Elephas maximus indicus: one gene and its partner. The protein of the gene in region 2 interacts with the protein of the main gene of each other region in a biochemical or structural test. Links are inferred from orthologs where the notes say so. Each region holds a gene or a part of one and is shown on either strand. Other genes may lie near its edges.

The links. The genes of interacting proteins can lie anywhere in the genome.
Region 1: the proteins of RAN (region 2) and NUTF2 form a complex in vitro, tested with the Homo sapiens proteins (3 studies listed by BioGRID, with this or other methods). The link is inferred for Elephas maximus indicus from reciprocal best matches to the Homo sapiens genes RAN and NUTF2.

The regions. Positions count from the first base shown.
Region 1 is NC_064839.1:34,291,679-34,301,843, forward strand, and holds the start of NUTF2 (nuclear transport factor 2), read left to right. Parts: upstream 1-6,135; 5' UTR 6,136-6,314; coding exon 6,315-6,354; intron 6,355-8,767; coding exon 8,768-8,895; intron 8,896-10,165. UniProt on the Homo sapiens protein: Mediates the import of GDP-bound RAN from the cytoplasm into the nucleus which is essential for the function of RAN in cargo receptor-mediated nucleocytoplasmic transport.
Region 2 is NC_064840.1:1,473,846-1,483,217, reverse strand, and holds RAN (GTP-binding nuclear protein Ran), read left to right. Parts: upstream 1-5,119; 5' UTR 5,120-5,213; intron 5,214-5,742; 5' UTR 5,743-5,752; coding exon 5,753-5,788; intron 5,789-6,297; coding exon 6,298-6,382; intron 6,383-6,464; coding exon 6,465-6,590; intron 6,591-7,984; coding exon 7,985-8,172; intron 8,173-8,351; coding exon 8,352-8,522; intron 8,523-8,623; coding exon 8,624-8,668; 3' UTR 8,669-9,003; downstream 9,004-9,372. UniProt on the Homo sapiens protein: GTPase involved in nucleocytoplasmic transport, participating both to the import and the export from the nucleus of proteins and RNAs. Switches between a cytoplasmic GDP- and a nuclear GTP-bound state by nucleotide exchange and GTP hydrolysis.

The sequences.
Region 1 (10,165 bases), on a different chromosome or scaffold from region 2:
CTTCCCCAGGGATCTTTGCTGGATGTGCTCACAGTGGTGGGAATCTCACCAGCATTTCTTTGTGGCCTTCCAGTGCCCTGACTGGAGACTGGGTTTGTGGCTTTTGCTCTTTTCGCTGAGATTCTTTCATAGTCACGTTTATTCAAGTGCTGAGTAGCCGCTTCAGAAGTGGTACCCATCAGGGTGTCTTCCCAGGGTGAGAGACAGAGGAACCCTTCCCAGAGGTGGAAGGTCCAACAAACCTGGCCAAGGGGGCTCCTTGGGTGTCCCTTCGACAGATGGCCCTGACCTGGGGGGTTAGGTAGGGACAGGAGCCAGCAGGGGCATCAGAAATGCTGATAATCCTGGTATTAGAGTCCAGTTCAGCTCATCCAAGCAGCCTTGGTTGCACAGTGGTTAAGCACTTGGCTCCTAACTGAAAGGTTGGTGGTTCAAACTCACCAGCCGCTTATGGGAGAAAGATGTGGCATTTTGCTTCCATAAAGATGTACAGCCTTGGAAACCCTGTGGGGCAGTTCTTTGTCCTATAGAGCCACTATGAGTTGGAATCAGCTTGACAGCAGTGGATTTGATTTTGAGTCTGTGTCCTTTTTTGGGGAGAGTGAGATAGTTCTAAAAAGTGTTCCACAGGATGGACATTAAAAGTTGGGTAAGATTTCTATGGGCTGGCATTGAGCTGAACTACCTGATGGTCTTTTTGAAGGTGTTGTTTTTGTGCTTGGGGTTGGATTTGAGTAGGTTACCCTTTCCCCACCTTTGGCATTCTGTGATTCACTTGCTTTGACCACATGTGGCAGGAATTCTTGAATCCCTCCCTGAGGGAGGCAGCTGTGTGTGGGTTATTCCTGAAGTGACTTCCAGGCCCATGTGATGTGACCATTCTTTTCATCCTGGTCATCAGGCCTGTGTTGCGCCATCTCTGTTCTCACCCTGTCGCCATCTCTGTTCTCACCCTGTCGGTTGGAGTGGGCTCTTCAGGGTAGAATACGATTGCTCAGGTCTGATTGTGGCTGGGGATGTCTCACAGTGGCAGGAAACAGGGACACAGGAGGGCCAGGGATGGCCCTGCTAACAGGCCCCAGGGCTCCCACTGCTGGCTGACCTGCTGAGGTTGAGAACTTCCCCTCACTGCTCTGGGCCTTAATCCTTATTTGTTGCGGGTACCTCCTGTGTTCCAGTTCCCTAAGACCCCAGGCTGGAGAGGGTGCTACCTTGGAGATGGAGAACTAAGGGCTGTCTGCTTCAGTAGCCTCAGAAAACTAGGGGATTCTGGGATGTTTGTTTCTTGAAGACTCAGGTACTCTATCCAAGGCCCTGGGTCTCACCAGGGCAGAAACTGGAAAGACTGCTGCCCCCCTGGAAGGACTTCTGTGTAGAAACTAGTTCCACTTGGGGATAGTTTCAGACACAGGAGAATGCAAGTTCTCAGTTGTTCCTGTGGTGTAAACCTGCTCTGATGGGCTGAGTATGTACCCAGGTGCTTTCCATCTCGAGGAGTGTACAGCTTGCTGATTTCAGAGGGGAAAAAAAGGCTGGGGCTTTGTTCCTTGTCACCGGATTTTGCCACCTGTGCGCTTTCTGGTACTCCCATTGGCCCTCAGCTGTTCCATTCCAGGCCATTTTGTGGTCATTCTAATGCTGGCTATGCCAGTGGCCTTTTGTGATCTTGAATTCTCTCTTAACCTCTTAGAGCCACAGTTGCTTCATCTACAAAATGAAGGTAATTATACCAGCTTTACAGGGCTTGTTGTGAGACCCAAATGAGAGAATACACATTAAGTATTCGGCTACAGGAGGCACTCCCTCCACCACCCTGTGGACGCCACATTCATCCGTTTATTTGCCTACTTATCTTGGTATCACAGCAGTGTTGGGCAGGCGTGGTGATGGCTAACCACAGAGGTGGTCACTTAGGAGCTTCAGGCCCCATTGGGGAAGCCAAGTCCATGTGTACCTGATTGGGAAGTTCATAGCCTGGGAAGTCAGCTCATGGATGCAAGCTGTGTGGAAGGACAGGAACCCCAGAGATTGTCTCAGCCACCCAGGAAAGGGAGATTACCCAGGGAGTGAATAAGTGCAGAGCAGAGAGACCAGAATACAGGCTTCGGGATTTGGCTTCTGGAACAGCAGGGACAGCTCAGTGGCTCTGGAGCCCTCTCTCCAAGTGGAAGAAGGGGAAAAGGCCCTTGGGGTGCTGGAATGCCCAGGCCCTAGGTGTCTGCCCCAGGAAATTATTCTTTCCTGACCAGCCGTCTGGGCACCAGACGTTGGCTGATTACTCTGCAGATTTCAGGGAAGCAGGGGAGTTGTGGGCTGGGCAGTTGCCATTCCTAGTTGAAGCTTGCTTCATGGTGTACTATGTCCTGAAAGAGGCCAATATACCCATCCTCTTGCTTGCTGTTGACCTAGTGTTCCCTTAGGAAATGGCAATAACTCCTTAAACAGCTGGTCCTGCTTTATACCTTCAGTTGATTTCCCCTTACAGATGAGGAGACTGTGTCAGAGGGTGATACTACTAGGAGAGATGAGGCAGAACTAGAGACCAGGCTTGAGCGTGGGGCTGTGTGCTTGCTGTTCAGCCTCAGCTGCTCCTCAGGTGTGCAGGGCCTTGGGACTGAGAAAGAGAGTCAGGGCCAGGCCCCACTTACCACATGACCTCAGACAGACAGATGACTGGGTGCACAACAGAAGATTATTTCCTGACTACTTGGACAAGAGGTGTAGGTGGAGGGGAAATGGGTCTCTCGGCCACTTAAATTGACCTGGCTTTGCCGAGGACTCACTCCTTCAGAGAAGAAGGGCCGGCCTCTCAGCCAACCTCCTACACATTCATAAACTTAGACAACAAATAGATTTTGAGGGTTGGGCCAGGCACCATGGAAACAGGGGTGACTATGGTAGACATGGCGCCTGCCCTGGTCAGGGAGACAAATCGTAAGTAAATATGTAAGTGTGATGATCTCATACAGTGATAAATGCTAAGAAGATGATATAAGATGGTAAAATGATTGACTAGGGCAGCTACTTTAGACCGAGTGGTCAGGGAAGGCATCTGAGGAGGTGACGTTTGACACATGACAAGGGGCCAAGACACGTGATGGTCTAGGGGGAAGAGTGATCCAGGTAGAAGGATTAACAGTTGCAAAGTCCTAGGGTGAAAACAGGCCCAGCATGTTCCAGAAACAGGAAGGTGCCCAATGTGGCTGCAGAGGAGGGAGGAAGCGAGTGGCAGGAGATGAGGTTGGAGAGCTGGTAGGGTCCAGTCACCCAGGGCCCAGGGCCATTATAAGCAGGAGAAGTGGTTAGGACTGTATTCCTGGTGCAAGAGGAAATCATTGGAGGGCCATGGACAGGATACATAGCACCCCTCAGACCATGAAATCAGGGGAGCAGTTGGTTCCTAAAGGAGAGACACCCTGCAGTGTCTTCTTGTCCTTGGTGACAGCTTTCTCCTCTCCTCTCCAATACATGGGCCCATGGTTTTTTTTTTCATTCCATTGTGCTTTATTAGCGCAGCCTTCTTAATCAAATATTGAAAGAATTTATATGTATAATAATAATTTACTGTAATTGTATATGTTTATATCACATTTGGACCTAGGTACCATTCTTTTGTTTTTTTAAACAATTTACAGATTTATTTTCTTTGTTTTCTTAATTTTGTTGTTTTAGGTGAAAGTTTATAGTGCAAATTAGTTTTTCATTCAAAAATTTATACAGAAATTGTTTTGTGACATTGGTTGCAGTCTGTTCAGTGTGTCAGCACTGTCTCATTTTCCCCTTCTACCCTGAGTTCTCCATGACCGTCGTCTGGTTTTCCTGCCCCTTCCTGCCTTCTTTGCTTTTGGGCAGGTGTTGCCCATTTGGTCTTGCATACTTGAATGAAGCCCATGAGGTTTAAGCCGTGTTTGGCTGTCAGTCTCTCTGTTAGAGGAGCTTTTCCTAGGCCCCATGCAGCAGGGCTGTTTTTAGGGCCTGGCCTGCAGCATAACCGGGTTGGTAGCTAATTTCAAGGGCCCCACTGTGGGTTTGGCACATCTGCTGGCGTCTCCTGTAGGCCTTGGTGATGGCCCGTCAGGCACGCGAGCTGTTCTGTGTGCCAGCCTGGAGGTGATGACATCCCCTTTCCCATTGCTCTTTTACCGCTGTCCCTGCCCCAGGTCTGGCTAGGCCAGGATCTACCTCTACTTTGAAGGTTTGGGAAAGCTGTGAGGTCATCCCCCATGAAAACATCCATTGTTTGGGCTGGTGGGTTTAGTGTGGAAATCTCCTGCCTGGTACCTTTGCTTGGAGGCAGAAGCCCTGGTTCAGGGCTGTGTTGCCCCTCTCAGAGGCCCTGGCTTCAGCCCTACATGCCAGGAACACTGCTCTCACTGGTGTGGACTGTTTTTTATCTCCAGACCAGGGTATTGTTGGGAGTCCTAGCTCTGGAGTCCACTAAACCAGGTTATTCCATTCCACCATCTACCAGACTGGTGACCTTGAACAGGTTAGCTAACCTCACTGACCACCCCTGACATGGAGTGTACCTTACTTACAGGGTGGTGTTTAGGGCAAATGCATATGAAGCCCTTAGTACATTTCTACACCTAGTAAGCATTAGTGAAAATGGGATGTAGTCATCAGCCAGACATTGATATTTCAAGAGCTTTGTCTTTGGAAACACTGACCCAGAATTTGAGGATAAAAATGAAGTTTTTTTGTTGCTTAATAGATCTCCTGGGCCAGAAATTTTACCTGGGGCCTATGACTGAACTTCAAGTCTGAAACAACCTGAAATTTTTCACAAGGCTGGGACACCTCCGTATCTGTGCAAATTTGGGGTGAGAGCCACAATGCTTAAGACATTCTTTAGAGGGTCTTTGCAACTATAGAGACCTAATGGTCAGCAAAGGCTGATGCTCAGTGGGCAAGAGGTCATTGAGGTCATTTCTGCTCCTCGTGGAGCCTGGTCTTAGTCGGCCTGCGGACTGTTGGGGTAAAGCAGGAGATGGTGTGGTCGGCAGCCCTCTTGGGAGAGCTGTAGGAGAAGCCGTCATGAAGGTCAGTCCCCAGTTTGGTGTGAGGCCACTTTTTTTTTTTTTTAAATTTTGTGCTTTAAGTGAAAGTTTACAAATCAAGTCAGTCTCTCATACAAAAATTTGTATATACCTTGCTACCAAAACCAAACCCAACCCACTGCCGTCGCAACGATTCCGACTCACAGTGACCCTATAGGACAGGGCAGAACTGCCCCATAGAGTTTCTGAGGAGTGCCTGGTGGATTTGAACTCCCGACCTCTTGGTTAGCAGCCGCAGCACTTAACCACTACACCACCAGGGTTTCCTACACCTTGCTATATACTCCTAATTGCTCTTCCCCTAGTGAGAAAGCCTGTTCCTTCACTCCACTTTTTCTTTTCTTGTTCATTCCGGTCAACCCACTACTGAGCCTTGACGTTTTGTTTCTGCCTGGGCATGTTATTTACACAGTAAATGTATTAGAAACAAGGTCAGGGCTTGCTGGCCATCCTGGGGAGCACCCTGCCAGCCTGGCCTGAACCCCTCCTTTATATAGCATGGGGATTGAAAGGGGGATTTGCACCCTGATTCTTTTTTTGGACTCCGGAATGCTGCCTCCCTGTCTCGAGTTGAGGGAGGTGGAAGGTGGATCTAGCATAATAGTTGGAACCAGAAGCCATAAATCTTGCAGTTTGCTGTACTCTGGGGGGAGAGGGGTTGGGGGAGGTGGGCCAGAACCACAATGGAGCCCAGAGCCAGAGAGCTCCCAGGCAGAGGAGTGGCCCCAGGGTGTGGCAGATGGATTTACACATAAAGGAGAACACAGCCTAGAGTGGGGTTGGAGGTCAGTGTTTGAGTCTGGGATGAAGACCCCAAATAGTTGGGGCCTGAAATGTGACTTGAAGGAGGAGCTGGAACTGACCAGGCAGATGAGGGAAGGGAGGGCATCCCGGCAGGGGGACTTGCCTGTGCAAAAACTCAGTGGATGAGCACCCAGTGGGGTCTGGTGTTTGTGCGTGGATCTGGATCAAGGTAGGAGGGAATGGCTAGGGAGGCAGGGACAAGTATGGATGGTGGTGCTCAGGGGTTTGGCCTTTAACCCAAAGGCCAGGGGAGGGCCATGGCCAGCTTTGTGTTTTAGCTTTCAGGGTTGCCCAGAGTTAGCAGAAGGAAAGCATTGGCCTTGGCCAGAGGAAGGACCCAGCTGTCAGCGATGATGTACTGGAAAGCTTGGAGCAAGACCTCCACTTCGCTGCACCTCACTGTTCTTATCTGTAAAGCGGAATCTGACCCCCTGGCTGTGGGATCACTACATGGAAATAAACACAGGAAGGTCAAGCAGGCCTCTGAGAGGTTGGTGTTGGCCACAGTGGGCCCCTAGTTTCAAAGGTTCCTTCTTAAACTTTGGGAACCCAAAGTTGGCCTGTCCCTCAGGAGAGCTCACTCCAGTCCACTCTGCCCTGCCCACCCCACCAGACCAAAGGAACCTCCATCCCTCTTTATCCCTCTATCCCTCTTCCCTGCCAAATAGATTTTCTGTTTGTACTATAAATTTATTACACCGTTAAGAGCAATACTGAAAAAGGAAAAAACATTCCTACACTTCCTCTGCCCCACCATCCCAGCACATGGTGGCACTTTTCTTGTCTGCAGATCAGCTTCCACCGTTAGTTTCTACTCTTCATCTCCAGTGTTCTGGTTTCTTGCTCTCATCTCTTCTTCTCATGCCCCCAGACATTTGCCGATGCTATTTCTCCTGATTGGCATACTCTTTCTCTAAGACCTCCACCAAGGGCTGCCCAGTCTTGCTCTGAGCTAAGGGCAGAGGGAGAGATGGCCCTCATCCATTCCTCCAGCCTAGCCCAGTCCTTTGCCAAGAGCTCTCAGGGCTGCCAGGGTGTCTTGGTTGGGGTGAGGGGGGGACGCAGCAGGGGCAAGCCTCAGTTAGTGAACTAAGCTTAGTGGATCCTAGGATGGAAAGGACAGAGATGCTGGGGGCAGACAGATCTGTGCTCTACCTTATAAAACTCAAGTTCGTATGTGACCAAGACAGTGTAGCTGAGACTAGATGTTGGTCCCATGCTTTTCCCATTTGTTGGTTTGCTTTTTGGCTGAATGTGAACTGGGACACACTTTGTGTTCCTGTGTAGCAGGCATGGATGGGTCCTAGCTTTCTCCTCTTCTGCTTGTTTTAGACTTTCCTGGACATTTCTTAGTCATCCCAGCACAGAGGTTCTATTTTTAGTACCATTACCTCCTAAGGGACCTAAAATAAAGCTGGCTCATTTTCCTGGCCCCTTATTGGCTGCATTGTTGGTCATATGCTTGGGGATTGGCTGGGCTGGTGATAAGCCACTGTCCCCTACACTGCCCCTCCCCTCTGCCTTCTCTGGCCTTGGGTGAGGTCACAGGGACGAGGGCTGAAACTAGCACTTAGCATGTTGAGCTGAGGGCTTTTCCAGGTTTAGTTAGTGAAGCTTTACAGCCACTGGCAGCATTGGGTAACATCCCCATCTTACAGAGGAGGAGGCTAAGGCCCTGCCTGAGAAGAGGAGCGACTTGCATCAGCTTCCACCACTGCAAATTATCATCTGCCAGAGTTGAGCCCTCCTCCTCACTGCTTTGGTTCAGAGTCCTGTTATCAGGGCAGAGAGGATGGCTCCCCAACAGCTGGAGACAACTAGAGAATGACACATGGGGTGGCTGTCATGGCATCCTGCAGCGAGATGTGGCGCCCCTACCTAGCAAAGGCAGAGTGGCTCTCTCATCTTGTACTTGGATTTCCCATCCAGCACCCTGGGGCCATGGTCTCTGTAGTTTTGGGAAGGAGGGCTCCCCTCAGCGACCCAAAAGAGCCAGCTTCTTAGAATAGAGGCAGTGCTGAAAAGGAGAGATGTGAAGACATGACATGCTTCCCTCTCCCACAACCTCTATTTCCCCTCTCACACTTCTTGGCTATTCTCTGAGCCTCCGAACTCATGCCTTTAGTTCTGAAGCAGTAGGGATTGGTGGGGTGGTTCAGTGGGTCACTCTCATCAATGAAGAAATGCCCCAGAACGGGCCAGGGTGGATGTCATCCAGCCTCAGAGATTTAAACTGCTCTCTTGACTTGGGGGTCACTTGCAGTTCTTTTTGGAAGTGGCTTTTGGGGAGCCAGCTTTCCCCTTCTCACGGGGTCTTCTATACCTGTCAGCACAGCCCTGGGGCAGTGTTGGGGGCCTGAGTGCTGAGTACTGACAGGATGAGGAGGGGGCCTGAGAGCTGCCATAGAAACACTCCGTACTCAGACATCCAGTAGATCCTGGTCTGCAAAGTGGGAGGAATAGCAATAACTCTGGTTTTGCAAGTTGTTGAGAGGATTAAATGAAAAGATACGGAGAGAGTGCTTAGCTCCTCCTTAAAGGCCCCTCTCCTTAGTGGGCACAGAAGGGCCTGTTCCTTGGCCCTGGCTCAACCCTCAGCACCTGGCCTGTATCTTGTATGCTTCACCACCCTGACACCCCTTTGTGTTGTCAACCAGGAGGTCCTCAAAGGAAAGGCTGAGTCTATACCACTTCCAGGCTCCCACCACTGGTTTGGCTTTGGAGGAGTCTCTTACCAGTTCCCTAGGGCCTTTCAGTATTTCCTGGGAGACCAGACCTCAGCAAAGTACTCCCTGCTCAAGGAGGCCAGGGAGGGTTGAGGGGTCAGTGAAGAGCTAGCGGCCAGCCCCCTCCTGCTTGTGCAGTACCAACTCTTCCCTCCTTGTCTCTTGCTGGTCCTGCAGGTTTCAGCAAGGCTGGGCAACACTCCAGAATGGGAGACAAGCCAATTTGGGAACAGATTGGATCCAGCTTCATTCAACATTACTACCAGTTATTTGATAACGACAGAACCCAACTAGGCGCAATTTACGTAAGTCTCTAGCTCTAGGGCCAGTGTGGGGCCACAGGGCATCAATTTGGGTTTTGGGCCAGTATATCCAGGTCATGCACAAGTTCTGGCAGACCTGGTTGGACTTGGCTGGACCCTCTGAGCTTCTGTCTATGTGATAAGGGGCCTGAGGTCTGGGCCAGCCATCTGGTCTAAACATTGTCGACTTTATCATCTTCCATAAGAGTGGGGAGTCCTGGTACACTGAGCAAGGTGTATTCTGGCCTTGCCATTTCATGTGACTTGAACCCTGGCAGGGCACATCGTCTGGGACATACCTCTGTTTCAGGTTGGGACAGCAGTGGGCAGAGGCCAGGGATCATGGTGCCCTGTGATGGCAGCAACCTTGAGCATCCTAGTACAAAGCTGAGCTCTCCTGGAGGCCCTGGGTGTAGCTACCTGTTAGGGGTTGAAAAGCCCTTGAATGCTATGGGAAACAAGCAGGATTAGCCCAGGGAGACTGGTGTGTCACCTGAGAAACCCTTCTATGCAGGCATCGTTTGCTGCTCTTTTAATGGTGTCCTTATACACCAAAAACTACTTGTATTTGACACTGCCCAAGATTTCATCACAGAAATGTGATTGATCAGGCTACTGTCTAGCATGTCTGCCCAGGGTCGGGGTGATAGGAGTTATCCAAGCATACCCTCAGAGCCTGACTGGACTATGGGCAAATTCCTGTCTCTGCCTCCAGAAAGTCAGGGTCCGTTGAGGGAAAAAGAAAAGTATTTTACCAGTGGAGGCCAAGTCCAGCACAGGTATGAGTTGATCCTCATTATCGTAGGTAGAGACTAAAAAAAAATACTTGAATTGATCTGTGGAATCCTGGCACTTCTGCCTTATTACGTCTTTTTTTTTTTTAATTTGTTGTTGTTGAGAATAAACATAGCAAAACATACATCAATCATTTCTACACGTACAATTCTGTGACATTGATTACATTCTTTGAGTTGTGTAACCATTCTCACCCTCTGAGTTGTTCCCCCCCGCCCGTTAACATAAACTCACTGCCTCCTAAGGTTCCTATCTAACCTTTTGAGTTGCTGTTGTCAATTTGATTCCATATAGTTAGTTCTTAAAAGAGCATAATGCTCAATGCCTCATTTCTTCTTAAAATCAATAAAAGCAGGCCTGACCTAGAGAGGAGAGTTAGCAGGGTCCTAAAAGAGCACTTTATGTACATCATTTCATAAAAATCTCAGCACATTTCCCTTTGAATATTATAAAACTGAGACTCAGAAAAATAAGTGAC
Region 2 (9,372 bases):
GCCCTAAATTTGCCCAGAGTTAGTTGTCCCTGACATGGGAGGCTCTTAACGCTCATCGTAAGGCCCTAAATTTGCCCAGAGTTAGTTGTCCCTAACACGGGAGGCTCTTACGCTCATCGTAAGGCCCTAAATATGCCCAGAGTCCCAATGTGAGCCCCTCCCAACCTCTCTGAGCTCATCATGTCCTCTTCCTTTGCTCATCTTCTCCACCCTAGCCTCTTTGCTGTTCCTTGACAACTCCAGGTAGGCTTCTCCCTGGGGCTTTTGCACATGCTATTCCCTCTGCCTGGAATTCTCTTCCTTCAAATATCCGTGCCTCCTTCCCTCACCTTCTGCGGGTCTTTGTTCGAACATCACTATCTTAGTGAAGGCCTCTTGGCCACCCTACCTGCATGGCCACTCCTTCCTCTTGACACACTGAATCTTCCTTCATGGCTTTATTTTGCTCCTTAGCAATCATCGCTATCTAATATACTGTTGAGGGCAGGAGAGTTCAGTGGTAGAATTCTCACCTTCCACACAGGAGACCCAGGTTCAATTCCTCTCCAGTGCATCTCAGGCATACCACCACCCATCTATCATTGGAGACTTGTGTGCTGTGATGCTGAACAGGTTTCAGTGGAGCTTTCAGACTAAGATAGCCGAGAAAGAAAGGCCTGGCGATCTACTACGAAAAATTAGCCAATGAAAACCACATGGAGTACAATGCTCTGATCTGCAACCACACATGGCAATGGTGCGGGGTTCTGGGGTCCGACTCAACAGCAGCTCCTAACAACAACAGGAAGTTAAGGGTGCGTGGGCTAATTCAAGAAATATTGTTTGAGCACCTACTAAGGCCAGGCAGTGGCATGTACCAAACAAGGAGCTTCCATTGTCCTCTCCCTGTGGAGTCAGGATGGGTTGGGTGTCAACGCGTAACAACACGCACAGAGTGTTGAGGACCAGGGAGGCTCACCCAAGCCTTGGTGTTCAGAGTTGTTTTGGGGACTCCTTTACGTAGGAGGATTGATTGATTGATGGATTGATCTCAATCTCCAGGTTGTCTGATGCAGCTGCCCCAAAGCCTCCACACTGTTGTCACTCTGTAGGTCCTTCTGATCTAGCCCCACCCTAAGACTATCAGGTGTGGCCAGCCCCCACCCGAAATCACATTGTTAGAGTATCCAATGAGACCCAAGGCCCCCAGGCAAACAGAGACTAGAGATTACCTCCTCACAGCCAAGGGCAAGGTTAAATTTTACAGGACACATAGGTTGCCTGCTTGTCCTCACAGAATGGTATTTGGCTTCCCTCAGGGTGAGTGATCCAAGGAGCAGGGTGAAAGCCTTTATGACTGAGTCCTGGAAGTCACAACTGTCCATTCTGACATAGGCCATCTGTTAGAAATGAGTCGCTTGGACCTCCCTACACTCAAGGAGAGGGGAATGAGGCTCAACCCTTTCAGGGGAGGAGTATCAAAGAATTTGTGGGTGTATTTTAAAACCATCACATTTTTAAATGCTGGCAACCAGTTCAGATATAAAACATGTTGTGACCCAGCCTGGTCAAACAACACCTCTCAGGGTTGGAGTTAGTAGATAGGCCACTAATCTGTACCTTCTGTACTAATCTGGGAGCCCTGGTAGCACGGTGGTTAAGAGCTCAGCTGCTAACTGAAAGGTCAGCAGTTCGAATCACCAGCTGCCTCTTGGAAACCCCATGGGGCAGTTCTACTGTGTCCTATACGGTCGCTATGAGTTAGAATGGACTGGACGGCAACATGTGCACGCTTGACCATGTAATCTGGTCTTTAGATGAAAGAGGTGCTTGGTCAACCATGTTGCATGGAAATATGACAAATCTCACCATTTTGCTTTTAAGGAAAATAACGCTGGCGCTAATGCTGAGACCAAAAACCAAACCCATTGCTGTCAAGTCAATTCCGACTCATAGTGACTAAGAAGTAACATGTAATTTGTTCATTGTTGTGCCCCCTATGTAGAAAATTGAGTGTCAGATAAGGAAAATATCTCATTTGGTATTTTTGACTGGTGAATGAGTTAATAATGAAGTCTTTAAGGACAGCTTCTTAATGGTTTGCAAAGTCAACAAAGTTTGTGGAAATTGAATAAATGGAATAGCCTGGCCGTGTATCTGGTGAATGTTTTATTTGCTTAACCATTAGCCTTCAACATGAAATAGCATTAACATTTGAGTACGTTTATATATTTAAATCTCTGATTTTTACTAAACTGTAACGCTGCTATTTAGGATTACTCTTCCTGTGTTCAGGTAGAGTCGGCGTTGTGTCTCCCAGCGCAAACATGGGAGATTAGCTCTAGTGCACCTACCTAGAAATGGAAATCCAGGGCCACAGCTAAGGATACTTTCAGTTTTACTAGTTTCTGTTTTCCAAAGAGGCCGTAACAATTCGCACTCCCGCCAGCAGCATCTGAGTCTTCACTTGGCTTTTTCCTGAGGGTCCTATAGGGAACTTGGACTTGAGTTCCCAGCAGGCAGGTCCTCTGATGTGTTGTGTCCAATCTGCATCACTTGAGTTCCCAATATACTTACTTACAGGTGTGCTTAAAACTACATGCTAACTTCTTCTTGGTCATTTGGGTTCTCTTTGGCCAAGGAAGAGTCCTCATGGTGAAATCTTTTCTGGGGGAACTTGGCGAGTCCGATCTCTGTGACTAGCTATCTGTTCTTGCTGCCAGAAATGAATTGGGAAGGAGGTTCCAATACGTCAGTTAAAAAAATCTGTGCTTCTCTACACAGATGCCAAAACCTGACTTTAGACTCAGGAGACAAGGTTGGAGGACGCCATTCTGTCCACATCCTTACTAAAAGTGGGTGATGATAACAGCTAATGCTTGTTGAGCTTGCGGACCCTATGAGGTAGGCAACCCCATGGCATGTGAGTTCTGTCAGTGCACAATCTGGTCCGGACTGCTCATCACATTCTCCCTACAAGTGTCAGGAACCCAAAAACTTGTTGACTGCATCCAGGTTTTTAACTAGGATTAGAACATCTGCCAAGGTCCAAACACAGAATTTCCTCGTTCTGTTGGCTAGACATGACCACAAAGACTGACTGATCAGATGTGCTAAGACAAAAGTAGCTTGTGTTTCATCGTGGGAAAGTAACTATCAATCCTTGCTTCATTCACCCCTTCCTCTGCTGCTAACCCAAAGGTTGGAAATTTCAGTTTACCCAGAGGTGCCTCCATTGAAAGACCTGCCACTGAGAACCCTACGGAGCACAGTTCTACTCTGACATACTCGAGGTCCCCATGAGTTGGAATGGACTCCATGACAACTGGTATTGGTGCTGATGGAGGCCTGGGAGTAAGAAGATTGAACTCTGGAGTGAATGGGATGTAGACCTGGTTTTGGTAGGCCCTAGATTAGTTGTGGAAGAAACCCTGGTGGTACAGTGGTTAAGTGCTACAGCTGCTAACCAAAGGGTTGGCAGTTTGAATCCACCAGGTGCTCCTTGGAAACTCTGTGGGGCAGTTGTACTCTGTCCTATAGGGTCGCTATGAGTTGGAGTCAACTCGACGGCAATGGGTTAGATTAGGAGTAGGAGCTGTGGTGGTGCAGCGGTTAAGCACTCGGCTGCTCACCAAAAGGTTGGTGGTTGGAACCCAGTAGTCATTCTTCAGGAGAAAAATATGGCAGTGTGCTTCTATGAAGATTCAACAAACAAACAAAAAACCAAACCACTGCCGTGGAGTCGATTAAAACCCTATGGGGCAGTTCCACCCTGTCCTACAGGGTCGCCATGAGTGGGAATCAACTTGATGGCCATGGGTTTAGAGTTTTTTGTTTTTGTTTAGATTGGGAGTAAAGTCCCTCAGTGTCACAAGCAGTTTGTGACAAGCTATTAACCTAAAGGTTGGTGGTTCAAACCCACCCAGTGGCCCCTCAGAATTAAGGCCTGGCATTGGGCTTCCGGACACCCTCGTGACATACTGGTTAAGAGCTATGGCTGGTAACCAAAAGGTCGGCAGTTCAAATCCACCAGGCGCTCCTTGGAAACCCAATGGGGCAGTTCCATTCTGTCCTATAAGGTTGCCGAGTCAGAATCCATTCAGTGGCAATGGGTTTTTAATGAGCTTCCATAAGGAGCCCTGGTGGCACAATGGTTAAGCGCTCCACTGCTAACCTGAAGATTGGCAGTTAGAACCCCCCCACTGAGTGGCTCTGTAGGAGGAAGACCTGGCCATGTTCTCACATAAAGATTACCAGCCAAGAAAACCCTATGGGACAGTTCTACACTGTCACAAGGGGTCCCTATGAGTTAGAATCAACTATATGGCGTCTAAGAACAGTCGGCTTCCATAAAGATTACCAGCCAAGAAAACCCTATGGGACAGTTCTACTCTGTCACAAGGGGTCCCTATGAGTCAGAATCAACTATATGGCGTCTAAGAACAGTCGGCTTCCATAAAGATTAAAAACAAACAAAAAAACCAGCCAAGAAAACCCTATGGAGCGCTGAGAGCCCTATGAAGCCCAGTTCTGACATGACAGCGGATCGCCAGCAATCGGCACGGACCGGAAGGCAAGGGGCTTGGGTCCTTTTTGGTTTGGATTAGTAGTGGTTTAGGACTGGTTCGTTCATTCTCCAAGTGTTTGAGACCCTCCCTAAGCCCTGGGCACGCTGCGGGGAGCACGTGGTGACAGGAAAGGTCGGGGAGAGCATGTGGGAGACAAGGGAGGGATGGCTCGGAGCCCGGGACAAGCGGGGGCCTCCTGCACCATGGCGAACGCTCGCACAACTGGTACGCGTGGGTCGCTACGCCAAGGCCCCCAGCCCCCGGCACTGAGGGCCCGGTGCTCCGCGTGCGCCGGCCGCGCCCCGACTTTCCCGCCCAGGCCCGCAGCCCGTCCTCCGCCTCTGAGTCACGGCGGGAGCTGGGCGCGCCGGGAGCGCGTCGGCGCATGCGCCCGGAGTCCGCCGGGAACGGGACCGCGAGGGCCGGCGGGAGCGCGCGCGCCCACCCTGCGCGCCGCCAGCCCCGCCCCACAGGCCCGGCGGCTGCTACGGCCGCCCTCACCGCCTGCGTGCGTGCGCGCTCCCGTCGGGGCCGCGTGGGAGCGCGTCGCGTCGTTGCCCCGCCCTGAGCGCGCGCCGGCGTCGTCTGCGTCTCCGGGCATTTGAATTGCGCTTCCGCCATCTTTCCATCCCTCAGTCAGACGGGGCCCGGAGACGCTTCTCGAAGGTAGCGGCGGGCAGCGGGCGCTGGGGTGGAGAGGGCCGGCGGGCGGCCGGGGAGGGCCGGGGCCGTGGCGGAGCGGCGAGCGGAGGGCAGCGGAGGGCGGGAGGCGGCGGCCCTGAGGAGACGGTTAGCTCCGGGACGGCGGGCGGGCGGGCGGGCGGCCTCCTTGGCGCGCTTTCCTCCCCACAGCCTCGGGGCCGCCGTCCCTGCTCTCGTCCGGAGCTCCGAGCGGGCGGCGAGGCTCCGGGGCGGCCTCCGGGGGTGCGGGCTGCGCCTCGGCCTGCCCGGCGGCCCCGTGACCAGGCGCTCTCGGCCGCGCCCAGCCCTGGGCCCATCAGGCCCGGCCGGCGTCTCGGGCGTCGGGAAGGGCCGCCATGGCGCCCGTGCACCCCCGCCCTCCTCGGCCGCCCGCCCGCCCGCCCGCGGGATGAATGGGCCGCGGCCTTTGTGGCCGCGGCGGCACGTGGGGTGTCCAGGGTGGGCCGGCCATGTGGCGACCCGGCCGCGTCACGCCGTCCCCCTTCCTTTGCAGGACCATCACGATGGCTGCCCAAGGAGAACCCCAAGTCCAGTTTAAAGTACGTGGTGGCCCCTCTGGGCTGGTGGTGGCCCCTCTGGGCTGGTGCTGGCCGGGGGCGGGCAGGAGGGGCCGGGGCAGCGGCTGTTGTTGAGGGGATCCCTCGGTCCCTGCCAGCGCCTGCTGACCGGCCGCTTTGTGTGTGCTGACACCGCACGAGGTCCTTTAATTCTCTCTCTCCGTGACGGGGGAGGGGGGCTAGCCCTGGTTTGTGGGTGAGGAAACTCAGTAGGGCCGCCCGTACCGGGGGTTACATAATTCTTGGGAAAGACATGCTATTTCCGAGGAGTTGACCCCCATTTGGGTGGAAGGGGAGGACGTTATATGAAAACTGTCTTCGTGTGTGATTTACTCACAGCATTTAGATGTAACAGGGCCACGTAATAACTAAGTGTAAATATCAGTTAACTGAGTTAAAATACTGTCCAGGCACTTCTAACAACTCCGTGATTCCAGGCTTGTGAAATATATTTTGAGTTTGTTTCTTGAAAGAAAATTGTATCCCAACAGCTCGTATTGGTTGGTGATGGTGGTACTGGAAAAACTACATTTGTGAAACGTCATCTGACTGGTGAATTTGAGAAGAAGTATGTAGGTATGTGGGGGGAGAAAAGGGTCTGTGGACATTTTTATGAAGTGAATAATTCAGTGACTAATCTGAAATGTTTGTATTTCAGCCACCTTGGGTGTTGAGGTCCATCCCCTTGTGTTCCATACTAACAGAGGACCCATTAAATTCAACGTGTGGGATACAGCTGGTCAGGAGAAATTTGGGGGACTGAGAGATGGCTATTATATCCAAGGTAGGTGTCTCCTCTGTGACTTGAGTAGTTTTGGAAAGAATTTGTATTCTAGTGTCCAAAGTCCATTCCAGCATATACTTGGCTTAATTCTGGGTGTACTGGGGATTATATAATTACATTAAAAAAAGACATGCTGCCTACAGCAAGCTGACCATTGTTTTATAGGTGGAGGGGGAGGAAATACGAAAGTTGTCGTGTGTCATTTTATTTCATGCTTTGTCATGCTAGGTGTTATTTTGAAAAAGAAAACAAAATTATGATTTATACCGAGGCTCAAAATTTAAAAGCAGTAACAGTAAGCAACAGACAAGCTGTTGCTGCAACTTAAGTATTTGGAAATGTGGGTTCAGGTATATATTTTGGTGGTTATTAAGGATTATTTCTTGTTTGTTATGTTAAAACCACTTTGACCAGATACTAGGATCGGAGGAGCTAGGCTCTATATCTTACAAGTGTTGTATAAGACAACTAATTTCTCCTTTGTACCAGTTTTTACAGAATTTTTTCCAAAGTATTTAAGAACTGTAAAAGAAATAAATGGTCATTGTGGCACCAAACAAAACAAAGATGAATAAACAAAATACTAATTTTTCCTGAAATCTCACTTTCCTAATGCAGAGTTGTTTGAAAATGTCTACACCTTTTGCTCTGACCATGTGCAAATGAACACATAGGGTTTGTTTTTTAAGAAAGAAGTTATATCATGCTTGTAAATAGTCTGTAGTTTATTGCCTTTTTAACTATATTATGACCGTCCCTACAGGTCAATATATGGATTTATCTGAGGTTTTTGAAATAGAACTATACTATTTTCTAGTATACATTCAATAAATTTTATGAGGTTTTATTTTTTTTAATGAGGATTCCCAGGCTCCATGCTAGGCCCTTAATCTACTTCAGATACTTCCTGGGGAATGAGGCAGTGTTAATGAAGTATTTGGGAGGTATAGGAGAAGAAATTTATACAGTCATGTCTTTCAAGCTGTTTTAAAAAAATATAAAGGTGCCCAAAAGCAAGAAGAGAAGGCAGGAAGGGACAGGAACTGGATGAATGGACACAGGGAACCTGGAGTAGAAAGGGGGAGTGTGCTGTCACATTGTGGGGATTGCTACCGATGTCAAAAAACCAATAACGTGTATAAGTTCTTGAATGAGAAATTAACTTGGGCTGTAAACTTTCACCTAAAGCTCAATAAAATAAAGAAATAAATTTTAAACTATACTGTTATAGTCATTTAAGATTTTCAAAATTGAAAGAGCACTTGAAATAGAGGGCTGTAGATGACACAGAGCAGGCCTGAGATAACAGTCTCTCTGGTCCATGGCTGTTAGCATTTCTTATCTGTGTAGTAAACTCCTAGGTGTGTTCTAATCACTACAAGTTTTCCTTCCAGCCCAGTGTGCCATTATAATGTTTGATGTAACATCGAGAGTTACTTACAAGAACGTGCCTAACTGGCATAGGGATCTGGTTCGAGTATGTGAAAACATCCCCATTGTGTTGTGTGGCAACAAAGTGGACATCAAGGACAGGAAAGTTAAGGCAAAATCCATCGTCTTCCACCGAAAGAAGAATCTTCAGGTATGTTTCTTAACTTACTGAGTTAAGATTCTTAGGTAAAATTGTGCATAGGTCTGACACTGATCTATAAATGTCTTTTTTTATGTATGGATTGAAAATTTTTGTCTTAGTGGAATGTCCCCTGAATAATTGTTTTAGTAACTTTTTTAAAAACACTAATTTTACTTTTTTTTAAACAGTACTATGACATTTCTGCCAAAAGTAACTACAACTTTGAAAAGCCCTTCCTTTGGCTTGCTAGAAAACTAATTGGAGATCCTAACTTGGAGTTTGTTGCCATGCCTGCTCTTGCCCCACCAGAGGTTGTCATGGACCCAGCTTTGGCAGCACAATATGAGCATGATTTAGAGGTATCACGTTAAAATTTCTGTTAATGCTCTCAGATTTGGCATGTTACTTTTAAATGACTTTAACCTGCCACATTAATAATCTCTTGTTCTCTTTTCTCTAGGTTGCGCAGACAACTGCTCTCCCGGATGAGGATGACGACCTGTGAGAGAATGAAGCTGGAGCCCAGCGTCAGAAGTCTAGTTTTATAGGCAACTGTCCTGTGATGTCAGTGGTGCAGCGTGTTTGCCACTTTAGCTATATAATAATCTTTGGGATGCTGAAGGAGATGAATGGGCTTCGGAGTGAATGTGGCAGTTAAAAAAAACCTTCATTTTTTTGGACCTGCATATTTAGCTGTTTTGGAACGCAGTTGTTTCCTTCCTGAGTTTCAAATATAAGACTGCTACAGTCACATCACAATATTCAGTGGTGAAATCTTGTTTGTTCCTGTCATTCCCATTCCTTTTCGTTTAGAACCAGAATAAAGTTGTATTTCAAATACCTAAGCAAGTGAACTCATCCCTTGTTTCTGATTTTAAAACCACTACCCAGGAATTTGTGCCAGGTTACTGTTTAAAAAGGCTTCGTTATTACCACTCAGAAACCTGTTAGGTTAATTACTCCCTTCATCTACTTTGTATTGGAATCCTCACAAGCTGGCTGGTATGACAAAGGATTTGATAAGAAACGAAGTATAAATGTTAAGCTAAAACCCGTCTGTCTTCGTTTAGGCAAAATAGTATCACCTATTGAAAAGCTTGTTTATATGTGAGCTGTCAGTAAAGGTGGTATGTGGTTTGGATATTTCAGACGTTTTAAGAATTACAGTTGCTTTTATGGCAGAGGTAATCCCGTGTTAATGTAGAGCTT